Saccharomyces cerevisiae S288C: one gene and its partners. The gene in region 4 interacts genetically with the main gene of each other region. Each region holds a gene or a part of one and is shown on either strand. Other genes may lie near its edges.

The links.
Region 1: mutations in ITC1 (region 4) and LCB4 together harm fitness more than expected from each alone (negative genetic interaction), as found in Saccharomyces cerevisiae (2 studies listed by BioGRID).
Region 2: mutations in ITC1 (region 4) and SPT21 together harm fitness more than expected from each alone (negative genetic interaction), as found in Saccharomyces cerevisiae (2 studies listed by BioGRID).
Region 3: mutations in ITC1 (region 4) and SSN2 together harm fitness more than expected from each alone (negative genetic interaction), as found in Saccharomyces cerevisiae (2 studies listed by BioGRID).

What each region holds. Positions count from the first base shown.
Region 1 is NC_001147.6:651,510-656,227, reverse strand, and holds LCB4 (sphinganine kinase LCB4), read left to right. Parts: upstream 1-2,343; coding exon 2,344-4,218; downstream 4,219-4,718. Other genes in the region: YRM1 (Yrm1p), read right to left, coding at 1-2,018; GLN4 (glutamine--tRNA ligase), read right to left, coding at 4,496-4,718.
Region 2 is NC_001145.3:617,911-623,158, forward strand, and holds SPT21 (Spt21p), read left to right. Parts: upstream 1-1,947; coding exon 1,948-4,224; downstream 4,225-5,248. Other genes in the region: MMT1 (Mmt1p), read left to right, coding at 1-188; FPY1 (flavin adenine dinucleotide pyrophosphatase), read left to right, coding at 569-1,393; CTL1 (polynucleotide 5'-phosphatase), read right to left, coding at 4,341-5,248. UniProt on the Saccharomyces cerevisiae protein: Required for normal transcription at a number of loci in yeast.
Region 3 is NC_001136.10:1,344,736-1,351,785, reverse strand, and holds SSN2 (Ssn2p), read left to right. Parts: upstream 1-1,847; coding exon 1,848-6,110; downstream 6,111-7,050. Other genes in the region: YDR444W (putative hydrolase), read right to left, coding at 1-1,496; adenine phosphoribosyltransferase APT2, read left to right, coding at 6,724-7,050. UniProt on the Saccharomyces cerevisiae protein: Component of the SRB8-11 complex. The SRB8-11 complex is a regulatory module of the Mediator complex which is itself involved in regulation of basal and activated RNA polymerase II-dependent transcription.
Region 4 is NC_001139.9:255,089-262,135, reverse strand, and holds ITC1 (Itc1p), read right to left. Parts: upstream 4,430-7,047; coding exon 635-4,429; downstream 1-634. Other genes in the region: DNA-binding E3 ubiquitin-protein ligase SNT2, read left to right, coding at 1-488; PCL10 (Pcl10p), read right to left, coding at 5,172-6,473; 60S ribosomal protein uL1 RPL1B, read right to left, coding at 6,842-7,047. UniProt on the Saccharomyces cerevisiae protein: Functions as a component of the ISW2 complex, which acts in remodeling the chromatin by catalyzing an ATP-dependent alteration in the structure of nucleosomal DNA.

The DNA of each region.
Region 1 (4,718 bases), on a different chromosome or scaffold from region 4:
TTTTCCAAAACAGCTCTATATATGCTTTCCAGGGCGATGTTGATAACAAATGTATAAGAGCGAGCCATAATAATTCTTAACTGCTTGTTGTTATCATTAGACCATTTAGCAAATATATCTGAATGTATTTTGAAAGCAGTAAGTAAGTTCATAGCTTTATCCAACGGGATATTCAAGGTTGACAAATCCCAATCTGTGACTTCTTGATCTTTGATGTTGGATGATAGATAATAGCCCTTCTCAAAAAGAGTTAACTTATGATACAAAAACGCACAAAAGCCAGTAGAGGCCCTAGGAAAAAGGAAATTTGTGTATACTAAAGACAAGGCCATAAATGGCGGTAAATGAACGCAATTATGATCAAAAAACTCAGGAAAATGCTTCTCATCTAGGTTAAAACACAGTATGGTCGTATTGATGACAAGGGAAAAAGAGACCAAAATGGTTTGCAGGATGTTGTTCTCTAAAACAACGCTTTTTTCCTTGTAAATCAAATACCTCAAGGAATAAAACGTCAACAACAAATTCAAAACCTGCGCAAGCACTTTAATCTCGCACAAAGGAACTTTAGATATTAACTCACTGTCAGTGTAATATGATATTGGGTGGAATTCAGTCTCTACAAAGTTTCTTAGTTTTTTACAATTTTCGGCTAAGTCTGGAAATGCGCTTCTATCATAAATTTGATCTAGCATTGGTCGAGCTAATCTTAAAAACCTTTTAAGCTTGCCCATGCAGGAATTTGACTGATCGAAAAAAACCGTCGATGAATAATTGTTTGTATTTTTAGGCAACCTCTCACCATTCTCGCATTCATCGACTTGAAAATAGGATGAGTTAATCGCCAAACATCTCCCAATATTTAAAGAAACATTGAAATCTGATAATATAATCCAAACCCACAAATTTTCCAAACTTTCCATACTCCCCACAATATTTTCTTGATTTTTGTATATTTCTCTTATATTCAAGTGTAAACCCAGCATAATTGCCGTGCTGCATAATAAGTCAACTAGACTAATCATATGCGAATCGTCTCCACACGCCCAAATTAGTTCTCGATGATAGTATTTCAATAAGAGAAATTGAGCGCGTTCAATGAAATATACTTTAGCTGTTGACAGTCCCGTCAGCATGATGAGAAATTTCTCTATCTCTTCCGGAGTATTTTTGTAGAAATGGCGAATACACAGTATCATCAAAATAACTCCAATCTTATAATAGTTTTTCTTTGTCGATGGTAATAACTTTTCAATCCGCCTTTCACCGTTGGGTAACAGTTCGTCACTTGGAAGAAACGAGGAAGTGAAATCGTTTATTATTTTGGTTTTATCTAATACTTCACTAACTTCATTAGTTTCCAGTTCAGTATTGAAAAAGTCTGTTATAATCTTTGACGATTGTTCAAAAGATGGCAAAACGTTACAAACCTGTTGCAAGATGTCAGAGCCTGTCTTTTCTAACGGCGGTCCCTCTAGGAGTTGAGTTTCTGGCTTCATTGTCCATTTATGCCTAGCCTTCCATCTGTTTCTCTCGATTTTCACTTTGGACCAGAGCTGATTATACGTGTTTACAAACCGATTATCATCGTTTGAGAGATGCGTTCTCAAAGATGTAGGACCATATACTATTCTTCTTCCCGAGCCTTTACATTGTAAATAGTAAAAATTAGCGTAAGGGTTCCTAAATGGGCTCGTACTAAGCGCTACATCCTTCTCCGTCAACTCTTTGTCATCTAGTCTTTTCTCTAAATCCTCAATCCTTTTCAACAGTTCAATGTTCGGAGTACTGCCAAATAACTCTTTTGTTTCTATTTTGTGGGTGAATTTCTCTGTATACAGGCAACCAGAACGACCCCTCGTCTTACAAGTTGAGCACATTGGCTTCTGCTGGTCGCAACGTAATTTCCTTTTCCTACAAAAAGCGCATGACTTTATTGGTTTCCGTCTCTTCTGCGCCTTCTTTACAGTTTCCTCCGATGGGGAAGCTCTATCCTGTAAACTACCCCGCTTACTCATTAACAACTCCCTTTACCAGGACCATTCAATGTGCTTTCCCCTCTGACTTTCTATACTCTTGCCGTTATTATTACAATACCACCTGGCATTTGTCATTTTATCGCCTTGTAAACCATGGGTGTCACCCTACTGCCGAGCCTGAAAAAAACGTGCTGCAAGGGTCTTGAAGCAAAAAGATGATTTAACGGAAGAAAGGCATACAAGAAGGTGAAAATTCGTGTTTAACCCATCTGATACTTTCCCTTGTCTAACGTACTGATCCTGGAGGTTATCAAGAACACAAAAGTCTAGCAGCGAAAAGTACGCGAAGAATCTACTATAGATAATGGTGGTGCAGAAAAAACTTAGGGCTATCTTGACCGATGAAGGTGTATTGATCAAATCGCAATCACACCATATGTTCAATAAGCATGGTCAACTCAGAAGCGGAGATTCTTTATCCTTGTTGAGCTGCTTGTCCTGTCTGGATGATGGAACTTTGAGCTCTGATGGAGGTTCTTTTGATGAGGATGATTCCCTGGAACTGTTGCCTCTTAATACTACCATTCCGTTCAACAGAATTTTGAACGCAAAATATGTGAATGTCGGTCAGAAAGGCTTCAATAATGGCAAAATTTCTTCGAATCCTTTTCAAACGGAAAATCTGAGTTCTTCGTCTGAAAATGACGACGTTGAGAATCATAGTTTGAGCAATGATAAGGCTCCTGTAAGCGAATCACAGTCATTTCCCAAAAAAGACAAGTGGGATACAAAAACGAACACTGTGAAGGTGTCTCCCGATGATTCACAGGATAACTCACCATCTTTAGGGATAAAAGATAATCAACAGTTAATTGAGTTAACTTTTGCTGTACCCAAGGGCCATGATGTTATACCACAAAAATTAACCTTGTTAATAGATCACGTTTCTAGGAAATCGAGAGCAAATACCGGAGAGGAGAACATTTCTTCTGGTACTGTGGAAGAAATCCTGGAAAAAAGTTATGAAAATTCCAAGAGAAACAGATCGATATTAGTCATTATTAATCCCCACGGTGGTAAAGGTACTGCTAAAAATTTATTCCTGACAAAAGCAAGGCCAATACTAGTGGAAAGTGGCTGCAAAATAGAAATTGCATACACAAAATATGCCCGTCACGCCATCGATATTGCCAAAGATTTAGATATCAGCAAATACGATACCATTGCATGTGCCTCGGGTGATGGTATTCCATACGAAGTAATTAATGGGCTTTATAGAAGACCCGACAGAGTGGATGCGTTCAATAAACTAGCCGTAACTCAGCTACCTTGCGGTTCAGGAAATGCTATGAGCATTTCATGTCATTGGACAAATAACCCATCGTACGCCGCTCTGTGCCTTGTCAAATCCATTGAAACAAGAATAGACTTAATGTGTTGTTCCCAACCTTCTTATATGAACGAATGGCCAAGATTATCCTTTTTGAGTCAGACGTACGGCGTTATTGCAGAATCTGATATTAACACTGAATTCATCAGATGGATGGGTCCCGTTAGGTTTAATTTGGGTGTAGCATTCAACATTATCCAAGGTAAGAAATATCCCTGCGAAGTTTTCGTCAAATATGCTGCCAAATCTAAAAAGGAATTAAAAGTTCATTTCTTAGAAAATAAAGATAAAAACAAAGGATGTTTAACCTTCGAACCAAATCCTAGCCCAAACTCTTCGCCGGATTTACTATCTAAAAACAATATCAACAACAGTACAAAAGATGAACTTTCACCGAATTTTCTCAACGAGGACAACTTTAAATTAAAGTATCCGATGACGGAACCAGTACCTAGAGACTGGGAGAAAATGGATTCAGAGCTAACTGATAACTTAACAATCTTTTACACAGGGAAAATGCCGTATATTGCTAAGGACACCAAATTTTTTCCCGCTGCTTTACCAGCGGATGGTACCATTGATTTAGTCATAACGGATGCAAGAATCCCAGTGACAAGAATGACACCAATTTTATTATCCTTGGATAAAGGTTCTCATGTATTAGAGCCAGAAGTTATTCACTCAAAAATATTGGCTTATAAGATTATACCAAAAGTGGAGTCAGGTTTATTTTCAGTGGATGGTGAAAAGTTTCCTTTGGAACCCTTGCAAGTGGAAATAATGCCCATGTTATGCAAGACGTTGCTAAGGAATGGTAGATATATCGATACAGAGTTTGAATCCATGTAGATTAACGTTATATTTTCCTTCAAAAATGATTTTTTTGTAAAAAGAAATACTACATCGAAAAGAAAAGGCGATATAATGTTTCTATCATCGGAGTATGGTTTATATTCCATTTTTGTTTTCATTATAATTATACATCCCCAGTTATATATCATTAATACGTAACAATATTATGAGTTGGTCTTTATTATCTAATATAATTAAAAAATTTACACTATTACATCATTTTCAACCAATAGGATATATATATAAATATATACATATATGCACATTAAATCATTCACTTGGAAGTTGCGTCCTTCAAGCTAACTATTCTATTCAAAATAACCTTAGAAGTCGTACTCTCTTTATCCAGAGTGAAATAACCTACTCTCATAGCTTGGAATCTACACACTTCTTTGGAATCCTTATCTTCTTCAACATAAAATTCCGAGTTTTTAACAGAATCAACGACCCATGGACTGTTCTTGACAACGTCCCCGAAGTTATGTTCCATGACAGAT
Region 2 (5,248 bases), on a different chromosome or scaffold from region 4:
TTAACGAGTTTGAAATTGTGACACATCATTTACGTAATGTGTTAACCAATGAAGTATCGAATTTGAGAAGACTGGATATTGAATACGTGGAAGAAAAAAATGGTGAGGAAAATGAGCATATCAAGGGACAACAAAACTACAAAGAAGATGTTCTTATTAAGCACGACCATACGAATACTCATATTTGAGCTTCCCACAGTAATAATAACAAGTGAAGAAGAGAGGGAAATGTCGAAAATACCCGAAACGCATTTCACAATTACAAAAAGGCCAAAAAAAAAAAGGAAAGACAATACGCTTATATTTGTCACGTATACCTACTATTTGATTTATGTACGTTTTATATACAAATTGCATTTACTATTTATAAAATAAATCATTAACTATAATACTCTAACTGAATGTTTTAGGATCTTCTCTATTAAAAATATACGTGGAAAACGACTATGGCTGCCCGAGAGACTAAAAAGGAAAGAGCGAGGGATATAACAATAGCAGTCATTACTGGTGATAATAATGACATAAAAGAATTACTGAAGGAGGCAAAGTATATACTGTCAAGGGTATAATGGTGAAAGTAACTGCAGCTTGTATCATAATTGGTGATGAAGTGCTGAATGGAAAAGTAGTTGATACAAATTCCACTTTTTTTGCGAAGTATTGCTTTGATCATGGAATTCAATTAAAAGAAATTGCAACTATAGGGGATGATGAAACCCAGATCGTAGATACTGTGAGAAGATTAGTCAAAAATTATGATTTTATCATCAGTACAGGTGGAATCGGCCCCACTCATGACGACATCACTTACGAATGTATGGCGAAAAGCTTTAATTTGCCTTGTGAACTAGATGAAGAATGCAAAGAACGAATGAGGCATAAATCTGACCCTGAAGCAAGGCTTGATGCAGATGCTCTAAAGGCGCATTACCAAATGGCAACCATGCCAAAAGGCACAAACGTCAAAAATTATTATGTGTGTGATGACTTGTGGGTACCTATTTGTTCTATATCTCACAAAATGTATATACTACCCGGTATCCCTCAACTATTTGCAAGGATGCTGAAAGCGTTCACTCCCACGTTGAAAAAAATATATAATTTGGACAAGGATCCACGTGAGTATGTTCGTTATTTTGTCAGAACACACCTAACTGAGTCTCAAATTTCTAAAGAGCTAAAGTTGATTCAGGATGAATCAACAAAAGTTTCAGAAGCCATTAAAATAGGCTCATACCCACATTTTGGTATGGGATTCAATACAGTTAGTATTTTGGGTGAAAAGAAAGACGATTCATATCTGAAGAGTATTGTCAATAGAGTTGTTAATAACCTCGAGGGAGAAGTAATTTCTTCTGAACTTGAAAACAAGTTCTCGAACCAGGAGAGCTGAATACCCGAGTATTTAGAACTATGTATAGATATAGATTTTTTTTTTGGGAGCAAAGTCATCTCAGTCATCGCCGGTAGTTGCGCTTTCTTCTCAACAAAAAAGTACACTGCTCGTGGTAGAAAGGTACCTTGAAAAATTAAAGATCACATTGCTACTGTTAGAGCTTCAATCGCTAAAGTAAACATTTGAAAAATGCATATCCGAAAGGACCAAACCAGCAAAAGGTATATAATTCATTCAATAGATACAACTGCTCCATGAAAGGAAAAACCTTCATTTACGGTCGCGTTTTTTTTCGTGATATAAAAAAGGTAAAAAAAACGCGTCGCGTTAGAAAAAAGGTGTGTGTGAAGAGAAAGACCCATTGAATGGAGAGTTCGGTTCTTGGGAATTGCACTGAGCCGTGGTGAGTTTGTTGCTTTACTACATCTCTTCTTTTATAAGCAACGCTTAAGCTGAACCTAGTCAACACACATAACTGAAGTCAATTTGACCAGGTGCAACTGAAACCTGGATTGGAATTGGTATTCACTTGAACAAAAGACTCTGGTAAAATGTCTGAACTCTCTCAAATGACATTGAAGATCCTTTACACATTGGATAATGGATCCAATGGTAGTTATTTAGCCCGCTCAAGGGCTCCAAAACAGGTAAGAGTTGCTAATATTCCTAGTCCATTCCCGACAGATTCGAATGAGCAAACGGAGTTGCGAATTGGCGCCATCCATTTGAAGACTATACTGCATGAAATATACTTAAATTCACCTGAAGTGTTAGACCATGACACTTTAAAAGATGGATATGATTATAACTTGTATTATCGTGACATATGTGAAGTGGATGAGCCATTAGTAAGCCTTGGTCTTCTTTCCGGGCTTCGAAAAAAGTTTCATAAGAATAGCCCCTACCAGTATACAGAAAACAATATTGGTGAAGAAGAAAGTGAAGAGAGAGATGAGGTAACTGAAGAAGAGTATGAAGATGAATCTTTTATAGTTACTGGAAGGGTATGCTCGAATGTTTCCGCTTTACTACGAAGATCATATAGCAACATCTCGAATAAAAAGGGAAGGGTCGTAAACAACCAAATTCCGGAAGAAACTTTGGAGGTTAAACTAAGATTCACAAAAGTTATAACCAATTTAAGGACGTCTGGTAACAATACTACAAATTCTCGGATATCGTGTCTTCAAATGCCGTCTTCTTTACCATCAGCAACACTTCCGTTTACCCCAAAATCGCAATCTCTTTTCAAGACAAACCAAATAAAAAATTCAAGGAATGCAAGGACCACGATAACAATAAATAATACTAATAGCGGGACTGTGGGAAGAAGACAGACGAATCCTATGCCTGCTCCAAAAGCTGTCAGAACTCAGTCTTTACCCATCTGGAATCTTAAACCAAATATAGCGAATACTGGTTTCCCAAGAAATTCAATTGCGCACAAAATCTACTTAGCAGATAGAAAAACAGAAGCCAATCAACAAAACAACCAGCATCAAAACATAGCTTACGAAATAAATACTTTGCAAAACGATAATACTATTCAGAGGACCAAGATCGATGATTCGGTAAGCAAGAGGTTCGATTTTATGCTCAACAAAAGAAAGTCTACGAAAAAAGTGTCACCTGGTATAGCAACGATAGCAAAAAAACCAGCTTCAATAAACATAAATCCAAAGCAACCGCCGAAGACTAGTGGTGAAAAAAAAGCAAATGATAAGCAAACGATTGTCAAAGTTAAGAATTCGAATTCCAAAAATTCGGCTAAGTCTACACAAGCAGGATGTAGGCGATCATCAGTGATAGAACATTTAAATGATCATGACGATTCAATTTTAAGTGACATTCTATCGGAACCAGGCATTGAAGGGCAGAAATTGCAGCAAAAACAAAAGGGGCGTAAGATATCTTTAACTAGTGAAAATGATAAAGAAAATATTCCACCCCAAAGCATAACTAGTAAAGAGAACAAGCTTGAAGGTGACTTGGATTTTAACGCTGAGTTCCCCATGAGTGACTTTTCGGATGTAGTATTTAAAGATGAGATGGGATGGTTTTCCAATTTCAATTGCAATTTTTTTGAATCACCAACTTCTGCAAGTGCATCACAACTCAATCAGCAAAATTTGAAGCCTTCTATAACACTCAACGATCCAAACACCTGTAACACCATTGCTCTCGAAAATGAAGATGTCAGTGAATTGGAAACAGCGCAAAATAATAAAATATCTTTGCCTAGCGATGTTGACAAAACCTCCCCAATAGACTCGTTGTCTATACCTTTAATTGAACTTACACATTCAAGCTCGACAACAAACATGCAGCGTATATCCATTAAAGAAGGATCGACACTAAATATAACAGATAGTAATAATGCCACCCCATGTGATAATGATATAAAAGATAGAAAGGCATCTGTAATAGATTCGGACAATACAAAACCTCAGGCAGGGCTTATAAATTTCTCTACTCCAGCTGACCAGCCAGCTTCTGATAATAATGTTACAGCTTCGAAAAAGCTTACTAGCATGCTGGAAACTCAGCAAAGTAAGAGATCTCATGAAGAAGTTTTGGATGAAGAGGAAGAGGAGGAAGCCCTCAAAAAGCAAAAGGCAATACCGTCTTCACCATGTGGGATGTTCAATTATCATCAACCCATGGAATTATCTGAGGACATAGTTGAAGAAGAGCAAGGACACAATATCGGCGATGATAATGAAAGCGATAAGACCAACGATTTATTCTCAACATTCATCCATTCAGGAATAAGAGTAAGTCAGGTAGTAACAAGTCCCATCGGTGAATTTCAGTCAATAAAACACTGAAAATATTACATGAACTTATTCCTAGCACAGCATGTATATATATATATATATATATATACTCAGATCATACATGTAGCACCTTATAGAGAACAAAAAGAAGTATTTAATTAGCATTTTCATGTCGTTAACATGTTATCGCGTTCTGCAGCCTTACGTATAAGGTCGCTGGCATTCAAAAACGAGCACATATACTCATTAAACTTCTCCCTATCATTAGCGGAAATTGTCTCCTTGAATATAGGATCCATTTCTACCTCCACTTCATGGGACGTGTATTGATGGGAGTTCCTTCGCGTGGTAGTAACCTTTGTCAAATCCAAGTGTAAAGGCATTTTATCATTAAAGGTGTAGGTGGAACGGCTTTTGGTTCTTTGTAAAATAAAGCCATTCCTGAAAGCGGCAGAAGTTTCGTATTCAGGCACTTCAAGGCTGATGCTAATTTTAGCGTCTAATGAACTTTGAGGATAGCGAATGAGAAAATCCTTGACCCGGACCTTTTTGATGTAAGTAAGTTTAAGTTCTTTGTTTCTAAGGTCTTCCGAACAACGCCATGAAGTTAATTTGCCAACTTTCGAGGCATTGTTGCAGTTATATATAGAATCTTTCGTATACTTTTGTACCTGTTTTACTACTCTTGGGGCACATTTACTTGGATTCTCCGATTTTGAGCGGAGTAGCTCCTGGAAACTCGAGAACATTTGCTCAGGAACGTTAGACACTAAGCGGCCATTTCTGTTTTGAACAATAAAGGGCTTGTTGTGTGGTGTCATCCTGCGATGTGTCCTTTTGTCTGTTATAACACCAAATTTCATTTCGATTTCAATGTGTGATATCGACGATTTATCAATACAAGCAAGATATTTCCATGCTAACTTACAAACATGTTTATGGAATTCTGTCGCACCTCTTGAATTGTTTCTTGTGGTTTTGTATAAAGCTCTAGTTGATGTTAATGGCTTAGTGGTTTCAGAGATATGCAAGCTTCTGAATTTCGAGGCAACATTAGCGTCAGCTTTCTTTGCGC
Region 3 (7,050 bases), on a different chromosome or scaffold from region 4:
TGTCCTCTCTTATATTTATTTATTTTACTTCCGTGGATAACGGCCTGAGGTAAAGTCCACTGCAACGTCGCTTTTTTGTTTGGACTTTCTGCAGGAATCTCCCCGACGTTGTTACCATTTTCGTTTGAAGGTGATGATGCTCCACTACTCTCTGGGCTATCGGAGGACACAAACTCGCTTGAAGTTGGAGAGTTCTTATTTTTTTTCCTAATTTTCTGGACTTTGTGTATGCTTCGCCAATCCAGATACAAAAGTGCAGCAGTTCGTAATGGAACAATACCATCATCCATGACATTGGCATATATCGTTCTCCTCTTAAAAGACTCAAATACTTTTTTAGCCGGCGCCTGTGGAAGAATTTCTAATATGTACTTGGAATGTTCTGGGTACACTTCATCGTCTGCATACAACCCATCTTTGGACGTTAACGGTGTATATTTTAAATTCAAGTCCCTTCCTGTCAAACCAAGCGCGCCCATATCCAGTGGAACAGACAAATAAAAGGGGAAGTCGCCAATAACACCGATGAAAGGACTAGCTAACGTAATAAAATTAACGGGTTTAACACCTTTAACTGCATCAAAAAAATCTGGTCTTTTAATACTTATGTAACGCACCGCCATGGATTGAGTTGGCCCTCCTAGGGAATGGCCAATGAATGATATCCTGTCTACTTTGTACTTTTTATTCAACTTATCAACAGTCTCAAGCACATACTTTCCAACTCTAACGCCCAAGCAATGTATACCGTGACCTGATTTCCCGACGTTGCCCATAAAACCTCGAACAATTATATTCGGATTAATAGACTCATCCATAGGAAACGTCATTTCTTCAATTTTATCTTTCATATATAGCATATCACACCCGATATTAGAAAATATACCATGTGTCATAATAACGAGATGTACAGGCTTTTCTGGAAATTTTGGTGGTAAATCCCAAAGGGTTTCAGTATCCCACATCTCTAAAGAGACACCTTCAATACTCTTAAAGAGCCCATTCGATTTCTTGACCACCTTCCTTGTAGTCCCTATCCTAAACGAAAATTCCAGCTTCGGAATTGTGGTTACCGCCAACTGCGAAATTATATCTATTGTCCATGAATAAAGAGAAGTGTCGCCAACTCTAGAATTCTCATTCAATAATATTTTTACTTTAAATCTTTCGTCCGGCTTTAGATTTTCAACAAATGGAATAATTTCCTTCCCTGGAAACTTGCGATTCTCATTATAGTTATGCGGCCTAACATCGATGTAAAAAGAATATGGCCCCGTCAAATAAAGCGGTCGCAGAAGCGCGCTTTCCTCGTTCTTGATCCTCAAGAATAGATGCGATACATCTAGCCCTTGTTCCTTAATTACATCTTTGTTCACGGAAAACTTGTAGCGATATAACTCACCTATTCTTAATCTCTTCCGCTCATCAACCAATAAGGTACCTCCGGTTTCATTTATCTCGAGCGAATTTTTCATTCGGTTGATTTTGTAAGGCATTAAGGGATCGAACCAAAATGGAGCAATTCTTTTATAATAAGAAGATGAATAACAGCCGAGTAAGTGATTCTCCTCCGCATTTCCTGCTGTTCATTGTTTTATCATACTGAATAAACAATCCTTAGAAAATAGCATCGATATATTCGCGCTTAACAAAGCGAAGAATTGAAACATTTTTTCAGGTGGAGGGACCGGGTAGTGCCGGATCAAGTAGTGTAGTATTTATTGTAGTACACTCTTACAACAACCCTTTAAGACGAATGGTGTGAAATCGGAAATTACTTTGTTGAAGTAAGGTGTAACTATATTTTAAGAACGTTTAAGCTGGATATCAAGATCTGAGGAGGTAGTATGAGTTCTGACGCTTCCACGTACAGACTTGAGGATGTTTTATCCAGCTTCTATAGAGTGGAGAAAATCAAAAAGATCAACTATCATCAGTACATTTCTAAAGCCCAAAACGATCAATGGTCTATCCAAATGGAATTCATGCTACGGAAGCAGGATCCAAAGACTCTAGTTGCGCTGCTTTCAAGGGATTTATGGTGTTTCAGTATAAATGATGATCCGGTACCGACACCTCCTGCGATAGAACATAAACCAGTGAGCCCAGATAAAATCGGAACTTTCACTGCCGATTATTCAAAGCCAAACTTACCGCCACACTATGCTCTTTTTTTAAAAGCTTTAAGAAGGAAAATTTACATTAATTTGGCATTAGGTTCACACAATAAGCTAATACAATTTGGGAATGCCTGCATATCATTAAGCGGAGTGCCAAATTATCTCGTACAGCTAGAACCACACCTTTTTGTAAACGGAGATCTCACAGTGTCGTTATGTGCCAAGAACATGGGATTAGTACCAATGAAGGAGGAAAATTTGGAAGAATCTTTCCTTTCAAAGCATGCGCTTTATTTAGCACCATCTGGAATAAGGATGCATTTGGCCCCTGCTTCCAAGCAAGGATACTTGATAACGCCACCAAAACATACAGAACTTCTCTTGACGACGTTAAGTGTATCTCATGGTATAAACTTACAAAATAAAAAAAATTTGAAATGGGTTGCTGTTGTTCCTGACTTAGGACATCTCAACGGCCACACACCTACTATAGCTTCGTATTTAACTCCCTTACTTGAAGCAAAGAAGCTAGTATGGCCGCTGCATTTAATCTTCGCCCAACCAGTAGCTGATATAGAAAATTCTACTTCCGGAGATCCATCAGAATTTCACTGTTTGCAAGATGCTCTGGATGCCATTGATGATTTCATACAATTAAAGCAAACAGCTGCCTATAGGACTCCAGGAAGTTCCGGCGTATTGAGCAGTAATATTGCTGGTACAAATCCCTTAAGCTCAGATGGAGCATATACAGAACAGTTTCAACATTATAAGAACAACTCAATTAGTTCTCAACCCGCTTCTTATCATTCTGTCCAAGAAACTAATAAGATATCTCCGAAAGATTTCTCCCCTAATTTCACAGGCATTGATAAATTAATGCTGTCGCCCAGCGATCAATTTGCTCCAGCTTTCTTAAATACCCCTAATAATAACATCAATGAGAATGAATTATTTAATGATAGGAAACAAACTACAGTATCAAATGACTTAGAGAACAGCCCACTGAAAACGGAACTGGAGGCAAATGGTAGATCACTCGAAAAGGTAAATAATTCCGTGAGCAAGACAGGAAGCGTAGACACACTTCATAATAAAGAGGGAACACTGGAACAACGAGAACAGAACGAAAATCTGCCAAGTGATAAAAGTGACTCTATGGTAGACAAGGAATTGTTTGGTGAGGATGAGGATGAGGATTTATTTGGCGATAGCAATAAATCGAATTCTACAAACGAATCGAACAAAAGTATATCGGACGAAATTACCGAGGATATGTTCGAAATGTCTGATGAAGAAGAAAATAATAACAATAAAAGCATTAATAAAAATAACAAGGAAATGCATACTGATCTTGGTAAAGATATTCCATTTTTTCCCTCATCTGAAAAACCGAATATCCGTACGATGAGCGGAACTACAAAAAGATTAAATGGAAAGAGGAAATATTTGGATATTCCGATAGATGAAATGACCTTGCCAACGAGTCCATTATATATGGACCCAGGTGCGCCACTCCCTGTGGAAACACCCCGCGATAGACGCAAAAGTGTGTTCGCTCCACTGAATTTTAACCCCATAATAGAAAACAATGTTGATAACAAATACAAATCTGGAGGGAAATTTTCCTTCAGTCCGTTGCAAAAGGAGGAAGCATTAAACTTTGATATTTCTATGGCGGATCTTTCTAGCTCTGAAGAGGAAGAGGATGAAGAAGAGAACGGTAGCAGCGATGAGGATCTAAAGTCATTGAACGTACGCGACGACATGAAACCTTCTGATAACATCAGTACTAATACTAATATTCATGAGCCTCAATACATAAATTACTCTTCGATCCCAAGTCTACAAGACTCTATTATAAAGCAAGAAAATTTCAATTCAGTAAACGATGCTAATATCACTAGCAATAAGGAAGGCTTCAACTCTATTTGGAAAATTCCTCAAAATGATATACCACAGACCGAGTCACCACTGAAGACCGTTGATTCATCTATTCAACCCATAGAATCCAATATAAAGATGACCTTGGAAGATAATAATGTTACCAGTAATCCGTCCGAATTTACGCCGAATATGGTAAATTCTGAAATTTCTAACCTACCAAAAGACAAGAGTGGTATCCCCGAATTCACACCGGCGGACCCCAATTTATCTTTTGAATCATCAAGTAGTCTACCGTTTCTATTGAGACACATGCCGCTAGCATCTATACCGGACATTTTCATCACGCCTACTCCCGTTGTTACAATTTCAGAAAAAGAACAAGACATCTTAGATTTAATTGCAGAACAAGTCGTCACTGATTATAATATCTTAGGAAACCTCGGTATTCCAAAGATCGCCTATAGGGGAGTTAAAGATTGCCAAGAAGGTTTAATAACAACCACAATGTTACAGTTATTTTCCACTTTCGATAGATTAAATGGCAATGATACGATCTCCAAATTCTATAACATGAAGCAGCCGTACGTTTTTGTAAAGAAACATCACGAACTAATCAAAGTCAAACACGACTCTCAGCCATTTATTAAGTTCCTCAATTTTCGCCCTCCAAATGGAATAAAAAACTTCAAATCCTTATTATTAAGTTCATCTTTCAAAGAAGATTGTCTGTCATTTGCGCCAACTCTATCTCAAACATATATTAATCAAGAGTTAGGGTTTTGTGAGTTGCTTAAACTAACTAATGAAGACCCGCCCGGACTGATGTACTTGAAGGCATTTGATAAAAACAAGTTACTGTTGTTAGCTGCGCAGATTGTTTCATACTGTTCTAATAATAAGAACTCCATCAAAAACGTGCCACCAATATTAATAATTTTACCCTTGGATAATGCAACTCTGACTGAATTAGTAGACAAGGCGAATATTTTTCAGGTGATCAAGAACGAAGTTTGTGCCAAGATGCCTAACATTGAACTATATTTGAAAGTTATTCCTATGGATTTCATTAGAAACGTACTGGTGACAGTGGATCAGTACGTCAACGTAGCAATTTCTATATATAACATGCTGCCGCCAAAATCTGTAAAGTTCACCCACATTGCGCATACGCTGCCGGAGAAAGTGAATTTCAGAACCATGCAGCAACAGCAAATGCAACAGCAACAGCAACAGCAACAGCAGCAGCAGAATAACAGTACAGGATCATCTTCTATAATATATTATGACTCGTACATCCACCTGGCATACTCGCGTAGTGTAGATAAAGAGTGGGTTTTTGCAGCTCTTTCAGATAGCTATGGACAAGGCAGCATGACGAAAACGTGGTACGTCGGGAATTCCAGAGGAAAATTTGACGACGCATGTAATCAAATATGGAATATCGCCCTAAATTTAGCGTCTAAAAAATTCGGAAAAATATGTCTAATTTTAACTAGATTGAATGGCATACTGCCGGATGATGAATTGATGAATTGGAGGAGACTTTCTGGTAGGAATATACATCTTGCTGTGGTGTGTGTGGATGACAACTCTAAAATCTCCTTCATAGATGAGGACAAATTGTACCCTAGTTTCAAGCCGATCTACAAAGACACTAGGTTTGGAGGACGCATGGATATGACCAGATTATACGACTATGAAATAAGGGATATAGACCAGGACATCCATGGAATAGTATTTCAGCACCCGTTCCCACTGGCACACTCACAGCATCGCTGTGCTATTAGGAGTGGTGCTTTGATCAAATTCAAAAAATGCGACGGTGATACGGTTTGGGACAAATTCGCAGTCAACCTTTTAAACTGTCCACATTCTGATAGTACACAATTGCTGGAAACCATCTTAGAAGAGTTTCGCAACCTGGCTGCTCTAAACGTGTGGTACGGTCTCTCTGATGGCGAAGATGGCCATATTCCATGGCATATCCTAGCCGTGAAAAAAATGATGAACACTCTTGTGCACACCAGAGTAAAAATTGCTAATACTTCCGCCGCTACTGTGCATACCGCTACTTCTTCATCAATTATTCTCTCGGATAAATAAACTTTTTCCGGCAACGTTTTCCTGCTCATCTGTAGCCCTATTTACCAGTTTTGGTTTTAGTATTATTCCGGGGTGTAAACCCAGAAGTCTATTTCTCCAGTCGGATTTATAAAAACAAAACCGGAAGCGGGGCGGTACGGCATTTTCACTGGTGATGCACGCCCAGCGTGTAGTCCGAGACAATTTCCACAGAACGCGAATGAGATTGCGTTTAAGGCTGTATTTTCAAGGCACACGAAGCGGCCACGTGGGTCTGCGATGGTGTGTTGATGATGTCAAGAATGGTATCATACTCCGTATAAGGTTATGTAATCGGAAGTCGCGATTCTTTTTCAATTTTTTCTTTTTATTTTTTTCCAGTTTTTTCGTCTCTGCGATGGAAAATTGTTGAAGTTCTCTTGATTAGCAAGTAGTTCTTACATCGCAGGAATCTTATGTTGCATAGCTCAATTTACAAAAATAACAAGGATAAATATATATATATACGCATATACTTTTTGGGTGTTAAAGTAAATTTTGCACCCGTTCATACCAATCGTTCAGATAATTTTCGCTCCTTAAAAAAAGAGAGTGCGTGTGTATATGCCTGTTCATTGCCTGTCCGCCTCTCATTATGTCTATTTCTGAATCTTACGCAAAGGAAATAAAAACTGCATTTAGGCAGTTCACTGACTTTCCCATAGAGGGTGAGCAATTTGAGGATTTTTTACCTATTATTGGCAACCCCACGCTATTCCAAAAGTTGGTACACACGTTCAAGACGCATTTAGAAGAAAAGTTCGGCAAAGAAAAGATCGACTTTATTGCAGGTATAGAAGCTAGAGGCCTTCTATTTGGGCCATCCCTAGCACTGGCATTGGGAGTTGGATTTGTTCCAATAAGGAGAGTTGGAAAATTGCCGGGTGAGTGTGCTTCTATAACATTCACAAAATTAGACCAT
Region 4 (7,047 bases):
TACTAATATGCGATAGACACGATATCAGCTTAGAAGGAAACGAACTTTATCCATTATCGTACAAGCCTCAACATACTCTGTCATACATAGAACAATACTGCAGATATTATAAGTGCGAATCTGACCATAGTCTAGTGGAGTTGAGATATTTTGAACAGCTTAGACTGCGACACGGCGAAATGCCAGGAAACTCACACGACTCTGCTATTAAACCCAAAATTTACGTACTTCCTTTCGAAAGGACTTGCCCACATTGTGGTACAAACAAAAGTTTATACTGGTATGAAGATATTATTTGCCATTCTTGCAATTTGAGATCAGGTGCCCAAGAACTCGATTTTGATAGCGCATCTGCTAATATCTCTAACGATAACGGTTTACCAGTCGAAATTACCCAGCAATTGATGGAAGGAATTGAGCCAGCTATGTTTGATATCGATATTTCAGAAGCTGGTACCGACAAAAATACGCATCCATCAAGCCAGTAAGTGATAGTTACCTTAGATAGAAAGTATGGTCCAATCTTGCGCGGCTTTGTTGTGTTATTTTTTTCCATTATGCTTACAATGAATAATCTTATCCTATTTATGAATACTACAATTTACCATCAGTTACAAAGGAAGTTTTTTATATATTAATTTGGGGCAGGTGTTACTGTTCTTGAGGTTTGGCCCACTATATCTTTTAATTTATCGTCTACTGTTTCAATGACACCACTCCTTTTATTACCAGATGCATTTTTGCGAAGTGAGGAACCCCATATCGAATTTGCTAAAACGTTTTTCCAAGCTATCACATCTTCCATAGCTTTAAAATGTCTATAATTGACTAAGTCAGTCAATATTTCAATCTGCTTATTCACCTTATTACCACGGGAGATTTTGGTTCTTTTCCTTTCTGAACGGGCTAAAATCCTCGCGCCTGGCCTCTGCGAATTTATTATGGATTTTTTCTGTTCCAAGAGTTCATCTCTCTGATCTTCTAATTCTTGTATTCTATTAAGAACATTGCGTGTTTTCGAGCTATCATCTAGCTTCATGAGTTCGTCTGCAATCACCTCCAACTTTTCGTCTATCACAGCTTCTCTCTTCTCTTCGGCATCAACCTGTACATCAACCTCACTTTTAACACCGCTATTTTTATCATCAACATCCATACTATCAACGTTCAATTCGTTTTCGGTAAATTCATTATTTTCTAACTCCTTTAGCAACTTTTCTTCATTTTTGGTGAATGCTGTCAGTGACAGCGCATGGTCGCGCAAGCTAAGGGAACTTTTAATTCGTTCCATTATGGGTCTGATTTGCCTCAAGAGATCATGCTCTTTGCGACCCCAATTATCTAACCAGTCCATTATTCTTGACAAGTCCTCTAACTTGTCAATGCAATACCATTGATCTGGTGATAGTAGCAACCTTGAAGGTGTTTCATCCATAATTTTCTTTTGAATAGGTGTCAGCTCTATAAGTGGGTTTACGCGATCATTACTGTCCAATAGTTCGACCTCTATTCCATTTTCTACGTAATTATAAGATCCGGAACTAGTTTTGGAGATACCAAATACTTCCCTAGTTGCCTCGGATATTCCTTCGGAATTTCTGATTTTTTGCCAATTGCTCAATTGCTCATCACTGACGTTCAAAAAGAATTTCGCCGATGATGCTTTAGGTCCCTGAATTAATAAACGACCGGAGTGATAACTCAAACTATTGTTACTTTTCGGCGTCTCATTCATACCAGCAGGATATTGAGGAAATGGAACACCATTGTGATCCAGCCAAAAATACCTGTTCCCGTATCGATCCAATCCCAACGGCTTTAATCTTTGTAGATCGTTTTCAAATAGACAATTATCGAGGAAATTTTTATCTGATTGTAAAGCTTGTACCTTTTTATCCTGCTCTTCAATTAACTTTTGCTTTTTCTCAATGATAATAAGATCAATTGGTTCACTATTTGATTCGGAATCATCTTTTTTATCGGCACCATCGGCTGATGGTGTGTTTTCATCTGTTTTATTTAACTTCTCTTGAATTGCCTGCAGGTCGCCTTGAAGATTACTTAAGACGGCTGCCTCCGTTTTCAACTCTCTCGCAACTTTGAATCTTTCGCTACGAATTTGACCACATAGTTCCATGGAATCATCTACAGCAGCTTTGATATCTGGAGAAAAATGCGATACGAGATCTACAAGTATCCACAGCGCATTGACTTTGTCACTGAACGACAGCTTTCGACAGAAATTTCTCCAAAGCTGTTTGGGCAATTGAGTAGCTGATATATCTTTGGGTATGATCTTTTCTATGAAAGAATCAATAAACTCTGTATACATGGGAAGATGTCTACAATCTTCTAAGACTCCCAGTAAAATTATTAGCCAGTAACTGTTATTAAATTGCCTTTTCGTCAAGCGTTCTATCCAGTTAACATTGCGGTAGTTCAAACACTTTTCTAATTTAGGATCTCGTTCTTCACTGTCAGAATCAGATTTAGAATCAGATTCTGAATTTGTTTCGTTTTTAGCGTCTGATTCTTTTTGAACTTCTGTTGCGTTTTCCTTTAATGTGTCCTTTAGGTTGTCGATCTTTTCCTTATCTTGTAAAAAGTATCCGTGAGCATTTCGTTTTTGCTTCGCCTCCCCCTCCCCTCTTTCATCTTTTCTCTCCATAAGGACTCCCTTGTCGTCTATTATCCAGTTTTCAACGACGATGCAACTCCAATCGCCTTCTTCGTTGATGAACAAACGTAAGAGCGCAGTAAAAACTTCAATGAGAAGAGCAGACCCATTATGATTGATATTATCAAGTATATCATCGGATGCTGGGTCATCGTGAACAATCTTGTACTCAACCTTGTCGGAATTTCTTTTCATTATCATATCACGAATAAATGAATTTCTTTGCCAGTCACTTGGGTTTTCAGAGTCTTCCTCAGTAGTAGTCTCTGCTTTGTTTTTCATCGGCAGGCCGTTATTTTCAATTTCTTGTTCTTTAGACGTTTGCGTTCTTATGTTCACTAAAACAACTTCGCCCTTTAACTCATATGGGTCTGTACATTTCAAAGAAGTAATGAATTGGTCAAGGCTAAAATGAGAGAGACAAATTTTCGAACCAAACGTATTCAGAAACTGATAGGCTTGTAATAGCTTTCCAAAAGAATCAAAAGGTCTGGAAAGTTTTGTAGAACCTAATGAAATACATTCTAATTTTTCATTATAATACGTTAAGTTTGGAAAGATGTTCGGTGGATGTTGATATGGCAAAGCTAGGTCATCCATTATGCTCGTTATTGTTACAGCCTGAGGCTCCGCATTAGCTGGTGTAGGAACGCTTTCGACGTTTTCCGTGTTCGGTTCCTCATTGGCTTCCTTTTTCCTTTTTTTAGAATGTGTTTCTGATGTGACATTTTGACCCTTCTTCTTGTCTTCTTCCGAAGAATTATTCTCAGAATCATTTACTTCGGTTGGCTTTCTTTTTTTCTTGGTTTCTTTTTTGTTAGAAGCATCGTTTGAGGTGTTACTTTTACCCGATGATTTACTTTGACGTTTATTCTTTTCACTTTCTGGGGATGAAACATTGGCACTGTTGGAACGTCTTGCTACGACAGGTTCATCTTCTTTATATTTTAACATATCTTTTGGCCATTCCATCGTTAAACCATACATCGCTAAATATTCCGGTTTGACACACCAAGGTGCACCCATTTTCGAAGATGCCCTCTGTAAAGTAATCTTGAAAAAACATTTGATTAAGTGCTTAGTGAAAGTGGAACGGTCCCTGTAAATTTGTCCTTGATCAACAATGAAGGATTTATTACTGGAAGCTGCTTCTTCTATCAGCATGTATTTAGTATGAGCGGGCATCACAATTTCCCTGCTCTCTGGATTTATCGTTGCGTTAAATTGGACCTTTTCTTTGATAACATAACGTCTTTGGTATTGGTACTGCGGTAAGCCAGGATTACCAACACTGTTGATTTCGACCATATCATCAGGTTGAGGAGTACTTTGTTGGGAATTAGAGCTTGTGGTAGAAGAGTCTTTCTGTTTACGTAGATAAACAACTTCTCCTGGGAAAAAGTCATTTTTAAATCTTGCGTAAACTTTCTCCACCAATGCATCTAACCTTCTTATTCCGTTAAAATGTAAAAATCTTGCAACTGGTTCTCTCAACTTTAATGGGAATCTGTCTTCGACGTATTTGAATTGTGTCTCCTCACTATCCAGAGCTTGGAAAAAAGTCAGGCAAGAAGTACCAGTGATTTCGCATGTAAAATGGTGGCGTGTGTAGAAATCAAACCTTTCTAAAAATTCTTCGTAACTAGAAAACCATTCTCCAGTCTCTTCAATATGCCATACTTGTACATTCAAATCCAATGGTAAAGGTTTTGGATCAGGAAGTAATATAGGTTTCCTTTTATATAACACCATTGTTTATTAACGGCTTTCTTTACTTCCTCCTATTGTTATTTTCTTTTTTTATATATCTTCAATGGAAGTGCTATAGTAATTGTAAAAATCTGGATATATCTGCCTATTTCCAACAGTAATTGAGTGTGATGTATCTAATGTCAGTTGAATTGTTTACAGCCTTTTAAATAGTTATGTATTTAACCCAATATATGTTTTTCTGAATTTTTTCAGGAGAAATACAAAGAAAAGAAGAAGAGCAAGAAAGAGGATTTTTCTGATCGGTATTATCCTTTTTATTTTTTTTCTATTTCTACACTTTTTTTCCTCTATAATTTTCCTTTATTATTTTTCATTTCGGGTTTTCTCACCACGTTAAAAATGGATAATAAACTTAAAAGAAATAAAACCATGAAATATTTCTATTTTAAGGTTAGACAATACAGAAGGGACAGAGAAAGATGTGTAGGCAAATATACATTTGTTTGAACCATAGATTCAACAGTAATTTAATGCGAGTAAAAAAATCACATTTTTATGTGCGTTTCGAGAGCATCAATTAAGAATCCGGGATAACTGTTGGGAAGCTCTGAAGTTTTCTCCAATATCGAGTACAGGTTTCCACCATTGCACGGAAATATAAACAGACTAAGTTTGTCGTTGTTTTATTGAGAAATTGTTTGTATCATATTACCAGTGCCGCTATTGACTGGAAAGCATTCGTTACGTTCGTTAAAATAATTATCTAAAATACTTGTATCAACTATACACAGAAGGACCGTAGTTCATTCAAAAGTAATTTGGAGGCGGCTAATTTCCTGTTACTGACCATTAATTTAGTATTGCACACACAGATCAATAGACTGACTTCTAATTTAGTCAAAAGCCGTTTCGAAATACCGCATACTTTACTAAAATATTCATGTGAGTGAACGAAATCTTCCAATAATTTCGTGCTCAATCTAACCGCTGCTATTATCATTCGATGGACCTCCTTTTCCTGTAAGTTTAACTTCAACTGCAAAATGTTATTGCCATCCCTTGTTAAAAACAACGTGTCAATTAAAAATGTTGCCACAAGGTAAACAGTTGGCTGGTACTCACATTTGTCTTGGATTCTCTTGAGAAAATCTGCTGATGATAAGGTGGGTTTACTTTTCATGTAGAAATTCGAGTATTCTTTTTTCTCCACTCTAGTATTGAAACCGGTACACTTTCTATTGCCACTAAGTTTTAGTAGTAGTTCTATGGTTTCCTTGAAATTCGCCAGAGCTTCATCAACCGATATGTGGGGCACTTCTACATCAACCGGTATGCCATGTAGCAACGGGTTTTCACTTTCGGACTTAGTTTTTTCTTGATCTTCTTCTTCATCGTGTGGTAGACTGATATGCAACCCTCCCATATCAAAGCTTGTAATGCTGCTACATTCAGAAAAAATGGAGTCATCAATATCTTGCTCCTCCACATCCGTAGCATCGCCAATTTCGAAACTGGCAGTTGGAGATTTGAAGAGTGGTGATCTACGGCGAGGTATGCTTAGCCCGTTTTGTTGATGGAAAAGATCTTTATCAAAAATAGAACTTGTGCAACCCGTGGTATCCTCTAGCTCATCATCACTTAGTTCAAAATTGGACGTTGAGCTAAAATTAGTGCCATTAATACACGCGCTCGAATCATCACCCATGGAACTATATAATCCTTTCCCTCCATTCAATAGCCCCACCTGAAAATTGTTTATGTTCTCTATATTCTGCGCCAAATAATTATTCATTTCATTAGCGGATTCCAACAGTTGCTCTACATGTATTCTATTTTTTGAACTATCTGTTGTACCGCATGGCTGTGCTTTCTCAGTCTTGCCTTCTGCAAGACCAGGCGTATTTGATCTAGACTGGTCCCATTCACTTGTTAAATCTGAGAAATTCTCACTCTGTAAAAACTTTGGTTTCAAAGGTAATTCGAACGAAGCGTTATAATCGTCCACAATTCCCAAACTGACTGGACGTATATCACCATCATCAAACTCCTCTGTGTCAGTGGTGTGGTTTTTAGTCATGTCCATTTTGCAAGTAATCTATTTGCGCATGGAATACCTATATTATGCGAGTCGAAGATTATATAATAGCAGGTATGGTTGAACTGATTGAACACCAAAGCATATCGATCTGTGAAATTCACTCAACATGCTTTTAAAGTAAGGCAAGTTCTAAGTGATTTCCTACAAAACATCGCTGAGAAAGGAAAGAAAAATGGCATGATATGGAGTAAGAATCGGATCGGTGCAATATACTCCGAGCTTCCCGAAAAGATATATTCCGGGCCCAAAAATATCTGGCTAAAACTATGCATAATACTTTTACTACTTAGAGTCATACGTATTAAAAAAGGTATTTAAAAAGATGGAGATATGTATTAATCGCTCGGAAGTGATTAGTACAATCTGAAAGCTGGACCCATGGAGGACTTAACAACCAAGGAACCAACATTTTGCCAGTTCTTCTTCAACAAAGAAACAAAGAAGTTAACAGACATCAAGATTTGGTTAACCAAAACGTCTTCTTCCATTTCAACGTTACCAACGGCAACAGCCAAACACAAGACCTTCTTCAATTGGAACTTGATGGTAGATCTGACAT